4 linked regions of the Drosophila melanogaster genome follow. The protein of the gene in region 1 interacts with the protein of each later gene in a pairwise test. Each region holds a gene or a part of one and is shown in the gene's direction. Other genes may lie near its edges.

What was found.
Region 2: the proteins of Taf12 (region 1) and CG7518 interact in a two-hybrid assay, tested with the Drosophila melanogaster proteins (one large-scale study listed by BioGRID).
Region 3: the proteins of Taf12 (region 1) and CG6569 interact in a two-hybrid assay, tested with the Drosophila melanogaster proteins (one large-scale study listed by BioGRID).
Region 4: the proteins of Taf12 (region 1) and Atg4b interact in a two-hybrid assay, tested with the Drosophila melanogaster proteins (one large-scale study listed by BioGRID).

Annotation. Positions count from the first base shown.
Region 1 is NT_033777.3:11,677,715-11,681,617, reverse strand, and holds Taf12 (TBP-associated factor 12), read left to right. Parts: upstream 1-1,927; 5' UTR 1,928-2,051; exon of another isoform or gene 2,052-2,219; 5' UTR 2,220-2,404; coding exon 2,405-2,674; intron 2,675-2,745; coding exon 2,746-3,066; 3' UTR 3,067-3,232; downstream 3,233-3,903. Other genes in the region: CG6830 (uncharacterized protein), read left to right, coding at 1-355, 416-630; Ho (heme oxygenase), read right to left, coding at 746-973, 1,029-1,534, 1,591-1,747; CG18476 (uncharacterized protein), read left to right, coding at 3,602-3,733, 3,801-3,903. UniProt on the Drosophila melanogaster protein: TFIID is a multimeric protein complex that plays a central role in mediating promoter responses to various activators and repressors.
Region 2 is NT_033777.3:12,995,913-13,001,262, forward strand, and holds the start of CG7518 (uncharacterized protein), read left to right. Parts: upstream 1-2,176; 5' UTR 2,177-2,672; coding exon 2,673-3,188; intron 3,189-3,528; coding exon 3,529-3,612; intron 3,613-3,670; coding exon 3,671-3,861; intron 3,862-3,939; coding exon 3,940-4,101; intron 4,102-4,158; coding exon 4,159-4,304; intron 4,305-4,478; coding exon 4,479-5,061; intron 5,062-5,166; coding exon 5,167-5,350. Other genes in the region: CG7488 (uncharacterized protein), read left to right, coding at 1-712, 770-957; CG17327 (uncharacterized protein), read right to left, coding at 1,010-1,429; CG44194 (uncharacterized protein), read right to left, coding at 1,413-1,610.
Region 3 is NT_033777.3:21,865,672-21,870,134, reverse strand, and holds CG6569 (uncharacterized protein), read left to right. Parts: upstream 1-2,215; 5' UTR 2,216-2,291; coding exon 2,292-2,326; exon of another isoform or gene 2,327-2,390; coding exon 2,391-2,730; intron 2,731-2,780; coding exon of another isoform or gene 2,781-2,783; exon of another isoform or gene 2,784-2,808; coding exon of another isoform or gene 2,809-2,841; exon of another isoform or gene 2,842-2,870; coding exon 2,871-3,368; intron 3,369-3,425; coding exon 3,426-3,625; intron 3,626-3,684; coding exon 3,685-3,892; 3' UTR 3,893-3,962; downstream 3,963-4,463. Other genes in the region: CG31174 (uncharacterized protein), read left to right, coding at 621-916, 974-1,096, 1,153-1,345; lsn (larsen), read right to left, coding at 3,963-4,110, 4,174-4,320, 4,388-4,463.
Region 4 is NT_033777.3:15,352,866-15,358,682, reverse strand, and holds Atg4b (Autophagy-related 4b), read left to right. Parts: upstream 1-1,758; 5' UTR 1,759-1,866; intron 1,867-2,054; coding exon 2,055-3,009; intron 3,010-3,067; coding exon 3,068-3,263; intron 3,264-3,330; coding exon 3,331-3,407; intron 3,408-3,574; coding exon 3,575-4,050; intron 4,051-4,110; coding exon 4,111-4,413; 3' UTR 4,414-4,963; downstream 4,964-5,817. Other genes in the region: Hibch (3-hydroxyisobutyryl-CoA hydrolase), read right to left, coding at 1-144, 409-1,293, 1,363-1,365; Tmtc4 (transmembrane O-mannosyltransferase targeting cadherins 4), read right to left, coding at 5,215-5,817.

The DNA of each region.
Region 1 (3,903 bases):
GATACGTATGTCGACAGAATACTTGAAGATGCCAAAATAAATGAACAAGCGTTTAATGTGCTCAATCATGGTGATGCCTGGATAAATAACATCATGTTCCAATACGAATCAGATGGTCGCGTCAAGGAAACCCTCCTGTTGGATCACCAAGTCACGAAGTATGGAAATCCTGCCCAGGATCTGTATTACTTCATAATGAGCTCCACTCAACTGGACATCAAAGTCGATCAGTTTGACTACCTTATCCGATGGTATCATCAAAACATGAAGGAGCACGCCAAGCTGTTGAACTACAACGGATTTATTCCCTCGCTAAAGGAACTGCACGCCATTCTGATACAGCACCCCATTTTTGGTAATTTACAGAAGGATTTGAGGTTTTTAAATTCCTCTGACTGACATGTTTTTCTTCAAGCTGCTGGAACTGTGCTCACTACCTTGTCGATGTGTCTTAACAAGACAACCGATGACTTTACCACTGATAGCTTTTTGGGAAATGAAGAGAATGGCAAATCCCTGAGGGAGGCAATGTTTAGCAACGAACGTTATAGGGCCAATATAGAGCGTGTCATGCCATGGATAAATAGACGAGGACTGCTTGATAATTTTGCCAACGGACATTCCCAATAAATACTTTACTTCAGACAAATTTCAGGTTATTTACTATTTAACAAACGACTAAATAAATGTGTGATCACAATTCTAACTTGCTCAAGAGAGCTTACATTTGTATTTCCTACTTTTCTTACTTGAGAGCAAATTTCACGGCCACTACAATACTTGAAACAAAGATTAGTGCGAGGGCCAGCTTCCTAAGATTGGCACGATTCACACCTTTGATGGTCCGTACTACTTCTATATTTAAGCGAAATACGTTGCGACTTTCCTCAATAAAAGCAGCACGCAAATCATCGTCAAAAGCTCCGTAGTGATTGTTGAAAACGCGCCTTAGTTTGGCCTTTAAGACAGAGATCTGAAAGTGGATATAAAGACAATAGATATAAGGAACAAAGTAAAAAGCTACGCACCTTCTCAGGAAAATATGTGGCCTCACATCCCGGCGGGCAAATGGTAACCTGGGCAGGCATTGGCCTGGCCTCCAAGTCGTCTTTGTCTACAGAGCCATCGGCAGCTCTGGCGGTGGCCAACTCTGCCTCCTTGTCGGCCTGCTTCTGCTGCTCCTCGTCATCGTTCTTTGAAAAGATCCACATTTTACGAGCGATCATACGCTTCTTCTGCAACATTTGTCCGCCGGACATCAAAGCCATGTACATCTGATAGGAGTAGGCGAACAGCAAGAGTTCGTTCTGTGCGGCAATCTTTTCCAGATGCTCGAGATATTTCTGGACCGCCGGGCGAATTTCGTAGTCCTTCCTCCAATCGGAACCGTAGAAATAGGCAAAATCCCTTTCAAATGCCGCTGTTCTGTGGAATTCTTTGGGCAGCAGGCGCTCCGGCAGATGGGTCTCAAAGAATTTGTACAGTTCGTAGAAGGCCAGGAGTCCATCATACCAGACCTCGTCATCAGAAAGGGCTATGGAAGAAGAGGAATATCTAATAACTTCTAATAATATCGTGTAATTAACGAACCAAGTGCGATCTTTGCATTCACTAGAACATCAGTAAGATTATGCACATCTTTTGTGGCTTTACGCAACTCCTTTGTGAACGCCATGTCTACGAATTCCACATCCTCCACATTCTCGGAGACCTGACTGTCCGCTATTGTTTCTTCGCTCGCTGACATGTTTCTTTTGCGCAGCTATTGTTCCCAATTACAAAGTAAAATATATTCCTTATCTACGTGATATTTGCAAAATACGCCGTCTTTGTTTTGTTTTGAACTCCACGCCAGTGTGGCTGTCTAACTAAAATATACTGAAATTAAACGTAAATATACCAAATTGCTTTATAGCACCAGCGGGCATTTCAGAGTCGCCTGCAACTGGCCATACTGTTGATTTGGCTGTAGTTGCTCCGCTTATTTTTATTTTGTTTAGTAATTTAGGAAAGTAATAGTTTAAGATCAAAGTGTTAAAACCGCAATAATTGTAAGTGTTGCATGCGCTAAGAGCAACTGCTAAGTAACACTTTAGTTTTAGTAAACACACAAAGCGACGGATTCTTAAGACCGCACGCGTGAAATTGACCACTCTATTCTTTTACTTACATTTCGCTTTGCAACCAAACACCCACGCACACACAATCACCGACTGCAGTTGAGAAAGCAGGAGGACACACAACATAAGCAGCAACAACAACAAGTACACTAACGCTTTTGGCTTTGGTTCTGCACTCTTACCCACTCCCCAAAAATCCGCCCAACTTACTGTACTTTCCCCAAACACTTCCAACCAACCGACCTACCACCCACTTGATTTGACTCTGAAGAAACCCAAAAGCAATGTCGGATCTCTTTACCACTTTCGATAGCAACGGCGTCGCCGAGCACCACCTGCACCACAACCACAACTCCACATCGTCCGCCAGCGGACTGCTCCACGACCCACCCATGGCCTCGCCCTCCCAGCACAGTCCGATGACCAACAACAGCAACTCATCCTCGCAGAACGGCGGACCGGTTTCCGGTTTGGGTACGGGAACGGGCCCCATATCTGGTGGTAGCAAGTCATCCAATCACACATCATCCGCCGCCGGTTCCGAGAACACTCCCGTAAGATGCGTGCCTTATGGAGTGCACACGGAATACGCCAGGGTCTAGTTTAACTCTCTTCCGAATTACAGATGCTTACCAAACCGCGTCTCACAGAGCTCGTCCGAGAGGTGGATACCACCACGCAGCTGGACGAGGATGTTGAGGAGCTTCTGCTTCAGATCATCGACGACTTTGTCGAGGACACCGTCAAGTCGACGAGCGCCTTCGCCAAGCACCGAAAGTCTAACAAGATCGAGGTGCGCGACGTGCAGCTGCACTTTGAGCGGAAGTACAACATGTGGATACCCGGCTTCGGTACGGACGAACTGCGTCCCTACAAGCGGGCAGCTGTCACGGAGGCGCACAAACAGCGCCTTGCCCTCATACGGAAAACGATCAAGAAATACTAGAGGATTGGATCTAATCGGGTCGAGGCTCTGTTTCGGTTTGCCGGATTTCGCGTATGCTAAACGTGCACACGCCACAAACTAATTTAAGCTCCAATTTAGATTAAATAACAAATTATCGTCGCTCTATTGTAGATTTATTGTAATAAAAGTGCACTATTGATTTCACATTCAACAATTGGTCACCGTCAGCAGTAAATTTTAAGTCGTGATTTTTTAATCACAGTTTCTAATGGTTCTGTAATATTTGTATTAATTGTTTGTCTGGTGGATATTGATTTATATTTTTCATAATTTAACAATTTCTTCAGTTTATTTTAAAAATATTTGTGTAATATTTCCCTTTGAAAATAATTAGCGGACTCTGCTGAACGCACCCAATTAATTGCTGTATTTTTTAACAACGTGGTATTTTTTTAATGACCGAACGGTATTTTCCATCTCTCGCATCAAGGTCATACCATCAATAATGTTGATTTTCTGATTGTTGATTTAAAATTAAAAAAGCTTTCAATTGGCCAAAACAAATTTGTTCGCCATGAAGCTGCCGGTGATTTGTCGCACGTGCGACTCCACGGACACCGACAACCTTCTGAAGCTGGCCACGCCCTCGAAAAAGTATCCGGACAAGTTGCTTTCGGAGATTTTATGCGAGCTAACCGAAATCAATGTAAACAAAGTTCTAAGAAGCGAAATCTACGAAAAATGCAAACTAAAATGAAACATTTACCTTTCAGCTGGATGCAACTGGTAGTCAGAAATTTCCGCAATGCTTGTGCAGTGGATGCACCAAAAAATTAATGGGTGCCTATTGCTATGTGAAGCAGGCGATGGCCGCCA
Region 2 (5,350 bases), 1.3 Mb from region 1:
TTCATCAACAACACGGTGAACCACCGAGTGTGTCCCACCTCGGCCAAGGTGCACACCACTCGGCAGTCGAACACGGCCATTTACACCACCGGCCAGACGCAGTTGGTCTTTTACGATACGCCGGGCCTGGTCACGCAACATGAGATTCGTCGGCACCACCTGGACCAGAACTTTAAGAGTGCCTACCGCCATGCCATACAGCATGCGGACATCATCGCCGTGGTGCACGATGCCTCAAATGCCTGGACTAGGAAGGAACTGCATCCCACTGTCTTGGATACGCTGAAGGCGTATAGCAACCTGCCCAGTTTCCTGGTGCTGAATAAGATAGACGCCCTGAAGTCGAAGCGTTTGCTGTTGGATCTGATCAAGACACTCACCAACGACACCTTGACAGTTGGCAAGCGGGAAGTCCAGGCAAAAAGTGCTCTCGCCAAGGAAATAAGAATCAACAAGCGGGAGTCTAGCTGGAGCCATTTTAGCGACGTGTTTCTTGTTTCCGCCTTGACCGGCAATGGGCTGCAGGAGATGCAGAACTACCTGGTGGGCCAGGCTAAGCCCAGGGATTGGAAATACCCAGCTGACATTCATACGGACTCCAGCCCAGAAGCATTAATTGTGGAGAGTGTGCGGGCTCGTCTGCTGGACTACTTGCCGCAGGAGATACCCTACAACCTTAAGTGCGAGATCGAGTACTACAGTGTGGAAAAAAGTGAGTACTTCTGTACACTCGTAAAGAAATCCTTTTCAATTCCGATTTTCTTTGCAGATGTTGTCTACACATCCGTGCAGGTTCAGTGCCCCACCACGCGAATCGAGCGCCTAATCTGTGGCGAGGGTAATGGCAAGCTGCGGCAGATCACGGAGCGAGTTACATCAGACCTGGTGGAGATGTTCGGCCAAGCAGTGTCCCTTACTATATCTACAGTTTCCAAGGGCAAGAAGACCGCCGCTTGAGCACTTGTTGATTACTTGTACTTTATTTGTAACGTTGCATAAACCTAAGAGTTCACAAAAGCTTCAAATGCGCCACCAATTTGTCTAGATCTTCGGCAGGGGCTGGACCCAGTCCGAGGACCGTTGCTGTCCCAGATTCCAGCTGAGTGCGCCCGGCATCCCTCACCAAGGCGGCCACCACGTTCGACTCTTGGGCCTGTCGCTCCAGGGAGTTTAGCTGCTCGAAGTTGTCCACGCGCAGCACTATCTTCGGCTGTCCCAGGCGACACCAACGCTGCAGAATGGCGTTCTGCAGCTTGGTTCCCTGCACAGAGCTCTGGTAGCACATGACCGCCGCATGGGCGCACTGGGCCGCTGTCTTTCCCTTGGACATCTTTAGGTCGGTTCGGACCACCAGCGCCAGTTTGGTGGACTTGCCGAAGGCCAAACCGTTGCTGAGGAACTTCTGCAGGATGCTACTTGACGTGGGCATACTTCTGGCTCTGCTGCTCCACGTACTTCTGCATGCACGCCCGGAACTCTTTCACCTTCTCCTGGCAAGCCCTCCAGTCGCCCGTCTCGGCGATACACTCCTGCACCTTGTAGTGAAGCTCTATGCAGCCGGTCTTCTTCAGCATTAGTTCCACGGGATCCTGGTCCGTCGATGCGGACATTTTCTTCTCCACTTCGCCGGCTGAATTCGTTCGTTTCGAAATTACGAAATTCGGTCAGGGTTGTCAACACATCGAAGGGACACGGATATATTCTGTACGACATTTGGCCCACTATCGAATTGAAAGAATTTACTGTAAAATATATTTTCTTGCATTATAAATGTGTTTATTCCATAGACAGAATAGGAAATTTTTAGATCTTTGGGACCTTTTTCTGTATAAATACATGATGATTTGTTTTACCTACAATATATGTTGAAAAAAGTATATGAAACATACATTCCTATGGTTTTACAATTTTTGTATGGCTTAAAATGCTTTTTTAACATTTCCCAAATCAAATTTTTAAGAACGCATTAGTATAGTTTTCTAAGAATGGACCACACAGAAGTAAAGTAAAGCTCATATAAATAAAAGTTTGTGTTTGTTCTTTGGGATAGATGTAGAAAACTTTTCGGCCAAACAAGTGTGCACGGGGTATGACCATTTATTCGTGACTCTTGCGCGGCGTTGCGGTAATTTGAGCGAAGGCCGCCACGGGCACACCGATGCGAATGCAATCAACGAGAAACGAGCGAATTGCAACGAGCAGGCGAAAAATCACAAAAAGCGGAAAATCACAACAATCGTGGGTGCAAACGAAACGGAAACTGCGAGGCAACGGAAAGTCGGGTCCCGGAAAATCCAAACGGATGGCCCTGCAGTGAAACGCTGATGAAAGCAGAGGCGCACTTGGCGCGATTCGAGGGGCAAAGCGCGTTGCGTTGTGCTGCTCTGCGTTCTTTTCCAAAACCGATTTCGATTCCAAAAACCAAACCAATCCAATACCCACACTTATACACTTGCACACCGACACACCAGCGCACACACACAGACACGCGCGCGCATACAGTGAGCGAGTGAAAGTGCATCTACATCTGTGATTTCGTATATAATAATGCGTCGCGCATACGCGGATTTGGCCAGCAGAAGCACCAAAGACTAACAAGTGATCCGGAGCCGGGGACTGACTGAGTTGGCTGGGCTCATTGACCCATCCACCGCGTGAAAGCCCCGCCAGAAATGGCCGATCAGGTGGCGCACACCAAAGAAACGGATGCAGATGAGCCGCTGGTCAATGGCGAACTGCCAATGGAGGAGGCGCCGCCTTCCTGCTGCCATGTGATGTCTCTGTCCTCCATGGACGTAGATGTAGATGCGGATGCGGAGGGCGATGTGGATGCCACAGCGTCCTCCTCCTGCGTCGCCACCGCTTCCCAGCTGAATCCGTCGCCACCGCCTGCTGGTGTCCAACAGGCGAAGCCGGCGCGGAGCAGCTCACCGCCATGCCAGCTCCTGGAGCGGCTCAGCTTTCCCGACGGCAACATCATCAACACGCTGCACACGATCCTCGCCCTGCCTCCTTTTGATCCTTATGCCCCCGCCCCCAAAGCGGAGACGGTCTACAAGGAGGTCGTATCGCTGATGCAGTGGAGCCAGCGGGAAGACAACGCCATCGAACTGGAGCTCAGCGACAAGCTGCTGCACGAGTGCGAGCACAAGGGCGGCGATCCCAACGATGAGACGCGATCGTATTTGGTGGGTTCCCAGAAGCTGCCCGAAAGCTGTGGAGATCGATTTCATTTCATGTATTTTTTTTATTTAAATGTACTATTAAAGATGTGTGTGGGATTTTTTTATATTATACCTACATTTAGATTGGATTTAATGAGTTATCAAATCAAATGGGATAGAAATTATCTTATTAGATCGACTTTAGATGTTTCGAAATACTTAAACATGATTTTTTTTGGTTTAAAGAACACTTATTTGAAATTATGCTTTAGAATATTGATAGGTGCAATCATACCAAATACATTATATTTGAGAATATAAAGCTTTCTCAGTAAATACTCACTATCGTTCACCTTCTTTTCAGATGGCCATTGAGAACATGCGCCTGTTCTCTGAGGATCCAAAGAATCCGCTTCGTGACGCCGACGGACAGCTGCGTGCAATTACGGTGTGTTTGCTTGAAAGGATTAAGATGTATAACGAAACGTACTCCTAATCCATTGTAGCTATATTTCCAGAATCTTGCCTTCATATTTGTGAAACACCGGAAGGAGGAGTTCTTCACATTTTGTTCCTGCAAGGAATGTCTCGAATACCGCGAAACCATCATGGCCATCATGATGGATCAATTTAAGGCTGCGCACATGGTGGTCATGTTGCTAGACGTACTGATCAAGGCCTACAGTCCCATGTTGAAGTAAGAACAGTCTGCAAAACTGCAATAAGAAAAAGTCTCCTAAGTCAGTTGGTAATCATTTAAACATCTCTGTTCCAGAAACGATGCTGCCTACAATAAGTTTGAGAAACTGCTTGAGTGCAACAAGGAGATCTATTGGATTACGAGCGGTTACCTCTACGATAAAAATGCCGAATATCTTGATTTTATTGATGATACAGCGATCTCCGACAATATGATATTAGTGCTATTCAGCGCCATGTAAGTGAACACCCCAGTCCTGCATTTGTTTACTTTAAACGCATTATCTGTTCACAGATTAATGGCTAACAATCCGATGCTGCTGCTACAAATACTCGCCTATAATGTTGAATGCATTGTGAAAGCGTTTTCCGAGGGCATGATCGAAATTGCCCAAAATATTCAGGAAAACGAGAAGATTTCGGCAGAAAGGATGCTGACATGTAAGGGAATTCTCAAATGATAGCTAACTAAATAAATAAGGGGCATATTCTTCTCTTAAGTACATAAATTTAGTGACTAGGAGGAATTTATCTTTTAACTCGAACTGGTTTCATAGGGAAAATCCACTTACATATAAACTCAATGAATCACTCTTGTTTTTTAACCCTGTGTAGACATTCTGGACGGCTACTCTGATCTGAATTGCATCTCGCAGAAGATCTCGCTCAGCCTGTTTGCGTTTGAGAACGATTTCCTGCGAAAGTTCAGGCTGTCGTGGGTTCTTCTATGCCAGCGCCTTTTCCAGCAGCATGTATTCACACCCCTGGGTGATACCATGCTGGCCTGCATCCTGTCGTTGAAGGAGGTGGCTCCATCGGCCCAGACGACGGCGCTGATTAAGCGGTACATGCTGTTCGACGAGCACATGCACTCCATTGAGCGGCGCTGGACGGACATCTGGATCGAGCTAAATAAGTTTAACTTGTCGCCAACGGAGCACGAGCGCCGGATGGGCCTGCTCGATGTGTACAACATATTCGACAAGGTCGTCCTGGACGCCACATCTTTTTCGCTGCCGGATATCAGCGACGATGAGTTTATAGACTTCCAGCGCATCGTCGATCGCCAGCTGGCCTGGAAGAATATCATGGCCTTCACGAAGCTGAAGTGGCCCGATGGCTTCTACGATCCGCCCAATAAGCTGGTGCACGAGGATCTCTGCAAGAAGTGCAATTCACTTCTCGAGCACCATAACGAGTAAGTAGATTGGGTAGATTGTGCACCCAATCTGAAATTTTACAAAATAATAAATAATATAAATTAAAATTTTAAAATTATTTTTATCATTATGTACCATATCAGGAACTGCAAATGCATCACTTGCTCCATCGCCGGCACTCCTTTGCGACCACGACAAGCGGGCCATTGTGCCAAGTGCACAACGCTCGGCATTGTCGAGAAGGATCCGAAGCTGATGAAGTCCAAGATCCTTAGCACCTGCACCAGTGATGAGGCCAAGCACAATGCGGCCATAGCGGCTACTACG
Region 3 (4,463 bases), about 10 Mb from region 1:
CAGCTCTTGTGCGAGTCACACAGTGGGTTTGGTTTTTGGTGATAAGCCATGGGTTTCAAGCGAACCCATCGATAGCCGGAGCTTATCGGGTGGTGGTGGCTTATCAAACGGCCCATAAATGGAGCAGAAGCCACCGGCTGCTCGACGCCGGAACTCCGCGATACCAACAAATGGCGTCTATAGATTGCTACAAATGGCGACAACAATGCCACCAATTTGACCAGCAGCTCCAATGCTCGCCATGCTCGAAATGCGCAACAAATCCAAATTAATTCCCAATGGGCCGGTCAACAAAAGCCCCCCAGCCAGACCACTTGATAACTTCCCGATGGGCATGTGAAACTGATTAATGTGGCATTATAAATAGGACTCAAGTATGTGGTTGGGTCTTAATCGAAATTAGCTTACTTTGGGTAAAAATAAATTTATGGTATTTACGATAAATAAACAAATGCGCTTATTACTCGAACTGATTTACTTTGTGATCGAGAAACAAATGGAAACATGTTCCCTTTGCATTTAGTTTACTATCACCATTTAATTCAGTATAAATTTATCGAGTTATTGGTCTTAAAGCCAAGGATATAAAGTTTTAGGTTTTGGTTCAGAATCAGGACGATATGGACGACTTGAACGATGTCATCGCAAATTTGAGCATTAAATCCAAGAACTTTATAGATGAGGCTGCAAAATCATTAACCCCAACAATGGTGGGATTCAAAAGAGAACCTGAGCGAAATCAAAACTGTACCTACTTTATGCAGAATACCTGCCAGCTTTATCAAAACATTTCTAAATCCCATCCCAAGATTGAAAACAGTGTTAAATTCGATGAAGATTTTGTGATGCATATGGAACCTGAGATCAAGGTGGAATGCTCTGTTGATGATCCCAATAAAGAAGTTCAAATTTTGCTGTATGATCCTAAATCATTTACGTATAATATTTACATGAACATTTTTTTTTAACACAGAAAAAAGGAACGCTTGAAGCAGAAATATATGGAAGCTTTGAAGCTGGATGAAAACCTTGAAGCTAGAGTGAAACAATCGGCCATTGAATCCAATCCCGATATGGAGGAACAACAAGCTGAATTGTGAGATCATAACTTTATTTATGATAGCATTTACTTAACTTTATTGGCATTTATAGAAGAAAACTTCACAAGGATCAAGTGGAAATGTACAAAGGTGTGCAGGAAGAAATTATGGTTTCCTTCAAGAGAGACATGGATGATCTAATGCAACAGTATGAAGCTGAGTACTCGCGACTTAGTAAGGTCCACTCTAAGTGGGTAAATTCCGAGAATGATTCCACCAATAACTCAAACACTCATCAGCCTTAGTCATCGCTTAGGAATTTTTAAGATTTTAGCATTTTATTAGTGAAATCAAAACGTATTTATGTAGTTTCTTGGGTTTTAACATTTGACAATAAAAAATATTCAGTATATCAAATATTTTGTTTATTTTATACAGCTTTTTTATCACTTTTCCTTTGGCTTCAGCTCACTTAGTTCCGTCGCGCTCGGCCAGCAGATCCAGCATCACCTCGATCTTAAGATTACACATATTGTTCTCCTCCTCGAGGGCACGAAACTTCTTGTTCAGCCGGAGCATATCATCTACGTCACCCTTTCGGGTCGAATGCATCCAGATGCCGTCCGCAAAACGCAGCTCCTTGTTGCCCAGCGTTAGGGAAATCTGGCGGAAGTCATCCAGATCCTCGGTGGCCACCGGATGTCCTATATTGCAACGTCCCTGACGCACTGGAATCGGCTTCGACTCGAACTTCTTGTTGAAGAGCGGCATTGCAAACAACTGAAACGGAAAGTTGACCACATTTCGATTACATCCCCATTTGTTTGCCACTGCCCCGTTGCCCAGGACAACAGACACTTGTCAGGGGATCAGCGTTCGCGGCAGGACTCGTGCCAGGTTTTTAATGGCTAGTAAGACCGTATCCATATGTACCTGCTTGAAGGGTAGCGGCTGGCTGTCAGAGATTGACGAGGGGCAGCAAAAGGTTGCCAGTTGCATAAAATCGGTGAAATACAGAGAACTCCTTGCTGCACGCGGGGATACGGATGGATTTCTAAGCCAAACTGCCTTCAACAGGATTTTAAATGCCTGATAATTTAAAAGACAAAGCTTGCTTCATCGCAGAAACTCGTCTCATGTCAAACATAAACATTTTGTTTGGTTCATTGATGAAATTCTATACAAACACACAATAAACCCGATACACAACTCTGCTGTGAAAAATAATATGATTCCAAACACACAACAAATATGACACAACACGAAAATCAGCAAGCCATTCTCAGGTAGGAGAGCAAAGGAAAATTTGTCAACTAAAGTTAGTCAACGCGCAGCCAATTCACCATTTAGCAACTTTGTGCTGGAAATGTGTGAAGGAGTGGATCGACTGATGCGGGATCAGGCCGAACTGAAGGTTCACCTCAACGAAATTCTAAATGAGAACCGCCGGCTGGACATCGAATTGGCCAAATGCAGGAGCATCTTGGTTAGCGGCGATTACCAGGAGCTCAAGCATCGCCTTCAACTCAGCAACAAGGCTTTGGACGCGTCCAAGAAGCAGGTGGATGAGCTTATCAAGGAACGGAACAGCCTGAAAACCATGCATGACCTCTCCAAACAGACCATCGAAACCATGGAGATGGATCTTAAGAATTATCGCGTCCAATTGAAAATGTCTGGAGATGACCAGGTATTATTGCACTTCATCATTCCAATCCCGTATTGATTATCATATTATAGTAAGCTTTGACCAAATCGTATGTTTTAGGGACCAGAGACTAATGGAAAAATCCTAAAGTAAACTTCAACGTTTTCGGAATTCAATTTTAGGTCATACAGCGGTACTCGAAGATCGTCAAAGTGCTGGAGGCAAAAGTTGAGGACCAGCAGAAGGAGATACGCACGCAGGCGGAGACCATAAAGGCCCTGCACGATCACAAGCAGCACAGCGGATTGCAACTCCAGCAGCTGCATGCTCAACTGCAGGATAGCGAGCAGAGTCAATCCAAGGTGTCCATCCTGCAGAAGCAGCTTAAGGAGTACGAACTATCGCTGAGCCACACCCACAATTTGCTCATGGAGAGCACAAGACGGGAAACCGCCGCCATGCGCAAGCTCGAGGAGGCTATCATACTCAGCGAAGAGGCAAACAAGGAGAAAATAGATGCCACAAAGCTGGCCGAGACCTACAAGGAGGAGATGACCCACCTAGCCTCCAATATCGGTACCATAATGGATGAGGCCTCCACACGCGTCGACGTTGAAGTGGGCCATCTGAAGAATATGCTCAAGCAAAAGGACATTATAATTACCACCATAAAGGAGAAGGTAAAAGTCTATATTCGTATAATAATTATCACTTATAGTTACACTTACAAATTTTAGCTGAAAAAACTGGCTGTCGATCATAAGTCGGTGGTGCACATGCTGGAGACCCGGAGCAATCGCCTGGAGCAAAAGTACAAGGAGGTGCTGAAGCAGAACGATAAGCTGGAGGCCGAGTTGGAGGCAACTTGCCGGCGACTTGGCGAACTGGAGCGATCCGTTACTGAAGCTTACGGTGGGGATGCCGAAGATGCCAGGATGTGAGTATACAACATAGACAATTAATGACAAACATGATTATAAATCATAACGCTTTTAGAAAAATGTACTATAAGTCTCAAATGGATCGCTGCATAATGGATCACAAGAAAATGAAGGAGAAATACCGCGAGGGCATGGAGGACATCACGCAACGCTTCGAATCGGAAATTTACAAGTTAAGGGAGGAGAACTCCGTGCTGCTGGCGGAAAACGAACTGCTTAAGAGCGGTGCCGCAGGCGATAGCTCCAAGCAGACTTCACGCTGATTTTACGGTTGTACAAATATATATTTTATGATAACTCTCGTACATAATAAATTAGTTCTACGAGATCACACTATGTGGCGGCCGTTGTCTGTGCGTTTCGACCGGGAAACAAACTGGGAAACCAATAGGCTGGCTCATCGCCCGCCTGCTTGTCAATCCAACAGAGACCTTCGCCGAGCACCTTGTCCAGTGACTGTTGAGCACGATAGTCGGTCCAGCTGAGAACGGATAACACGGAAATCAAAGGGATATTCAGTTGAAAGTACAAGTGAAATTCTTACCCCAAATCCTTGATCAGCTGACTCTGCGTAACACAGCCTTGTTCGGTATTGGATGCGGCATTCAGTATGTTGGTCTCCTCCATGCTCAGCTCTCCGGGAATGGACTGAACTATGTACTTGCCCTTGCCCAGCTTGTGAACCACAAAGCTGAAGGTACGTTATGGAAAACGAGAAACTTGTGATATTGAATGCAAGCAGAGGTAATGACCCATACCCGTTGCCAAAAATGCTCAATTTCTTAGCGGCCATTAGGATGTCCTCCTTGGTGATCTCCTGGTGCACTGAACTCT
Region 4 (5,817 bases), 3.7 Mb from region 1:
TCCCTCCTTGAAATCACTTCGCTCCAGATGACGCACGGCCAGACGATATTCCATAATAAGACACTGAGCCAGCGACAGCTGTGATCCGAGCTCCAACTGACGGAACGTAACCTTCATCGAGGTGGGAGACATCTTCGAGAGCGTCTAAAACAAAGAAAAAAGCAATGTGTCTGATTTCAATAATAAAATTCAACTCTAATAGAAAAATGCAACAAGGTGTGGGGTGTGAGTTTGTGAGCTAGTGTAACTTATTCAGTTAAGAAAAGTCGTGCAGCAACTAAAGCGTTGCTAATTGGCTGGAAACGGATCAAATATTTAGGCGCTAAAAGCGCGCGTCAAGCGATGATTGGCCCAGCCAATTAACATCCGATTGTGTTCTTATCACTTAGTAAACTGTGCCCCACTCACCTCAAGCGTCTTCTTGGCCCATTCACTGCCATCGTTCTGCAGATTCTCTAGAATCCCCTCCACCGAGTCCGCTGAAAAGTTCTTGTTGATCTGCTCCAGGACAGGCTGCAGCGAGAAGGGCTTTTCTGGCGGGGAATGGTACTTCTGCAGCAGCTCAGGCACATCATCCGCATCCGGGCAGTTAAGGAGAGCCGTCTCCAGATCAGGGATCTTGCTGCTCTCGCAGTAGTGCGTAGCAATGCCTGAGTAATAGACATCGGCTCCGCGCAGTCGATATCCTGTGAGACCCAGATAGAGGCCCAGCTTTCCCTGCAGTCGAGGCAGGAAGTATGATCCACCCACATCCGGGAAGAGGCCAATCGCCGTCTCGGGCATGGCGAACAGTGTCCGATCGCTGGCCACCCGGTACTTGCCATGCACACTCAGACCCACGCCACCGCCCATGGTAATACCGTCAATGATGGCGATGTAGGGAATCTTATAGTTTCCGATCAGGGCATTCGTGCTGTACTCCTCCCGGAAGAAGCTCTTCGACTCATCCGTAGGGCCAGCCTCGACCAGAGCGCGCACATCTCCACCGGCGCAGAAGGCCTTGTCACCTGTGCCCTTGATGATCACCAGCGACTTGGACTTCTCGCACTTCTTCAGGTGCTTGTAGATCTTGCGTACCATCTCCAAGTTGATGGCGTTAAGCGCCTTGGGCCGGTTCAGAATAATCATTCCCTTGTTAGAGGACTCCGTGGCCAGCACGGAGGAGGAGGATTGGCGAACGGAGAGAGCCATTGTTGTTGGTTTTGTTTGGGATATCGTTGCTCCGCCGATCATCGGCAATTGGCTACAGGTGCGATGACCAAATGTGTACACCAACCTTTGAATTGGGCCCTGCTGGACGGCGACATCGAATTGTTTTCGATTAGCTAAGCGCTTCTATTTGCAGGAATTTGCATTACTTACCATTTTGAGCGGCTGTCGTCAGTAATGTTGTGTGTGGGGCGAAGCGAGTGTTTAGAAATTCAGCGTTGCGCAATAGAATTTTAGCACCCGCACAGCTGGTCATTCTTGTCGCGGAGCTGCCAGACCGCACACATGCCGGAAGTAAATAAGGGTGTTCCAGAAATCGTTTTCCGCGTAAAATATTACTATTAAATGGACATGCCAAGGGCAGACCTATACCAGGCGCCTTTTAATTTATTAATTCAAATATTATATGTATAAGAATTTTAGATAAAGATACAAATTGTTTAAAAATAGTTTAACACAAACCTGTTGATAACAAAATTCACTATTCATTTTGAACTCATTAGTAGATAAACGTAAAAAAGAACACACATTACCTACATATTCATAATAGAGCAGATTTGCAGTCTGGCAACACTGAAATTGGCAATTGTACTTCTCGCGAATAAGAAAAACAAATTTCGTGGAGTTACTTTATCTTATTTTGTCAACAAATAAACGGTGAGTAAACATTTGTAATTAGCACGCAATCGGTGGTCGGTTGTCAGTTAAGCCAGGGCCAGCAAGGGGCTCGCACCAAGATTACAATGCCGCAGTTCTTTAAGTTCCGCAAGCTGCGGACAAAGCGTCATAGCTCTTCTACCACTTCCGCCTCTGTTTTCATGTCCTCGTCCACGGCCACCAACCAGATGAACTATGACGGCCTCCTTTCCAAGTTGACCGACGAAAAACTGATGCTCTTCGAAGCCGCCGGCGAGGGGACCATTGTAGAGGGTAGCCGGATATGCGGCCAGGATGCGGATCCGCTCTCCTTGCCGCTGGTGGAGGACGGCGCCATCGAGGAGGAGCAGGCGGCCCCCATACAGACGATTCATCGCACTGTATTCGCCGTTCCACGCGTCCCTTCCCCCTCCCCCGTAAGCACATCAGGTGCCAATCTGAACCTCAAGACGGAAAACGCTGCGACAGCGACTCCGCAGCGCAAAATATCGACGTCATCACGTTTCATGAACGCCTTCAGTCAGCTCTACGGCGGCGGCAACAGCGGTCCGAGCTGCGGTCACGTGGAGCAGCACAACGAGGAACCCGGTGACCTGTCGGCAAACCGTACTCCCACCAAGGGCATGGAGTCCAAGCTCGTCGCAATGTGGCACAATGTGAAGTATGGCTGGAGCGGCAAGATGAGGCAGACCAGCTTCTCAAAGGAGCAGCCCGTGTGGCTGCTAGGACGGTGCTATCATCGACGCTTTACTCCGCCCGTAAGCATGGAAAGTTCCATCACCGAGCTGCCCAGCGGGGCGGATACCACCCCCGATAACGCCACATCGGCGTTCGACAGCATTCAGGCCACATCGACATCAACCTCCTTGTATCCAGCCCTTAATCCGCAGCAGATCGATGAGATTGTGGTGCCCCAGGAACTGGGAATGGACGCGGTGGAGAACCAAGTGGGCGAACAGCCTTGGGAGGAGGGCATCGAAGGCTTTCGTCGTGACTTTTACAGTAGGATTTGGATGACCTACCGTCGAGAGTTCCCAATAATGAATGGCTCCAACTACACCTCGGACTGCGGTTGGGGCTGTATGCTAAGGAGTGGTCAGATGCTCTTCGCTCAAGGACTCATCTGTCACTTCCTAGGGCGAAGTAAGTTAAATGAACCCGCACAAATATGTTTGATTACCAATAAACCTTTATGCTTCAGGCTGGCGCTATGATTCAGAGTCCCAGTTGCACTCGACTTACGAGGACAATATGCATAAGAAGATCGTCAAGTGGTTCGGGGACAGTTCCTCAAAAAGCAGTCCCTTCTCCATCCACGCCCTGGTGCGGCTGGGGGAGCATTTGGGTAAAAAACCTGGCGATTGGTACGGTCCCGCCTCTGTTTCCTATTTGCTTAAGTGAGTACAGATCTTTATCGCTTTTTTAATCTTTATTAAATCAAACAACTCTTCAACTTCACCACAGACACGCCTTAGAGCACGCGGCTCAGGAAAATGCAGACTTTGACAATATTAGTGTCTATGTAGCCAAAGATTGCACGAGTAAGTTCAAGCAGAAAGGAATCCCTTAATCAAAGATTCATAAGATAACTACCATGACACATTGATATGTTCATGAGTAATTGCTGCAACCTTGTTCGCGAAGCTCATTACTCAGGGGCTCAATTGATAACGTATGTGATTTGATAACCGTCTTTGTGTTGTTTTAGTTTACTTGCAAGATATTGAGGATCAATGCAGCATTCCGGAACCGGCGCCAAAACCCCATGTGCCTTGGCAACAAGCGAAGCGGCCGCAGGCGGAAACTACCAAAACGGAGCAACAACAGCACTGGAAGTCCCTCATCGTTCTGATACCTTTGCGCCTGGGCAGTGATAAACTGAATCCTGTGTATGCCCATTGTCTGAAGCTGCTGCTGAGTACAGAACACTGCCTGGGCATCCTTGGTGGAAAGCCAAAGCATTCGCTGTACTTTGTCGGCTTCCAGGAGGACAGGCTCATCCACTTGGATCCGCACTATTGCCAGGAGATGGTGGATGTGAACCAAGAGAACTTCTCCCTGCACTCGTTTCACTGCAAGTCGCCGCGGAAGCTTAAGGCCAGCAAAATGGATCCTAGTTGTTGTATCGGCTTTTACTGTGCCACCAAAAGTGATTTCGACAATTTTATGGAGAGCGTACAGTTGGTAAGCAAAAGCCAAACATTTCGTTTTCCAACGTCCTATTAAATATCTTAATTTCAACAGTATTTGCATCCTATGCGTTGCGCCTCAGGGGCAACTGTGGATAAGGCGGCCGGGAGCCATCATACGACGCCTCAGTCATCCCATCAAACCGAGCAAACAGAGATGAACTATCCATTGTTCTCATTTTCCCGCGGTCGTTGCATGGATCACGAGCGGGACGAAATGAGCGATTCGCTGTACAAGCCGCTCATAAAACAGGTGGCTTCTCTGGCCCAGGAATTGGGCGCTCAACTGGCGCCGCCACAGCACGGCGATGAGCACGACCAAGATGATAGTGAAAGCGAAGAGTTTGTGCTGCTGTAGATCGTTGCCGCCACCACCACATAACCCTGTTGCTGTGCTAGCTGTGTTATTTGCTCATTATTATTTGATTTAGTTGCCAGCCGCTGCTGCTTGCTTGCTCGCCCAGAAAAACCCAACAGACCCGTATCTCAAACACAAAGACTTTGTTGTACCTTTACGCCTACGCATATAGTACATAGACGCATGCATGTATCTTGAATATTTACTGATGTCCACGTTAATCTCTCTTTTGTTCGACCTGTCGTCTCGCATTCTGCCAAAGTTTTTCAGCTATTTCCATGTTCGAGCAGCCCGATCTGTTTATATGTGTTATATATAAACCTATGTAATTTGCGGTATTATTATTTTAAAATCATGAATCTTTAATGGAATTGAATTATTTTACAATGGTGCCACAATTGTCACTATTCTTTGAAGTATTTCATGTAGCGCTTAGTTCTAGAGTTTAGTTAAATTATGTAAGTCGTCTTGTAATTGTTCGATCATTATTTAGTTTTAACATTAATTGTATATACCCTCGAGTAAATGAATAAACTATCCTAACTTATACTAAATACAATTAGGGTGTCATGAGATTTTAGCTGATGGGATATGAATGTATGATATAGATACAATATTGCACGGAATTAAAATTAAATTAGACTAACTAGTTTTAATGTCTTTTATGAATAAGTAATTTAACCCACAACCTCGTCTTTCGTTTGGGATTATTACAGCTTGCGAAGTGTACATACCTCTTATTATTTGCAAACAACCAAGATTTTGGTTGGATCCATATTTGGATGGTGGGACTTGAAACGCTTATCTCTGCATGACTTGCGCCTCCCTTTCCAGGCGTTTTAAGAGCTTGCTGAGATTCTCCCGGGCTGTCGTTGCTCTAGCCGCACTAATACTTATTGCAGTCCGATAAGCCTCTATAGCCTCCTGCGTCTTGTCCCAGCGATGATAGAGAACTCCGAGATTCGTGTGGTACAATGTGTTGTGGGGCTCCAGCTCAATAACGCGCTTGTAGATCGCCTCCGCCTCCGTATAATGTTTTAATTTGCCAAGCACGTTTGCTCGAATGAAAAGGATACTGACATCGTTGGGTAGATGTTGGAGAGCCTGATTAGAGATGCGCAAGGCGTCATCCTGCAACCCCTTGTTGTCCAGCATTGTCAGAATGTTAGCCCAGGCTTTTGGCTGGCGGGGATTTAGTGCCACAGCATGCTGCCAATGATGAAGCGCTTCGGCGTAACGTTTCTGCTCCAGATACAGATTGCCCATGTTGTAGTAGCAGACGGCGAAATTGGCTCTGTACTTCAGGGCCTTCTCATAGCTGGCCAGAGCCTTGTCGTACTTTCCCTGAGCCGACTGCACAATGCCGAGATTCATCCAAGCCGCTGGAAATGCGGGATACGCCTG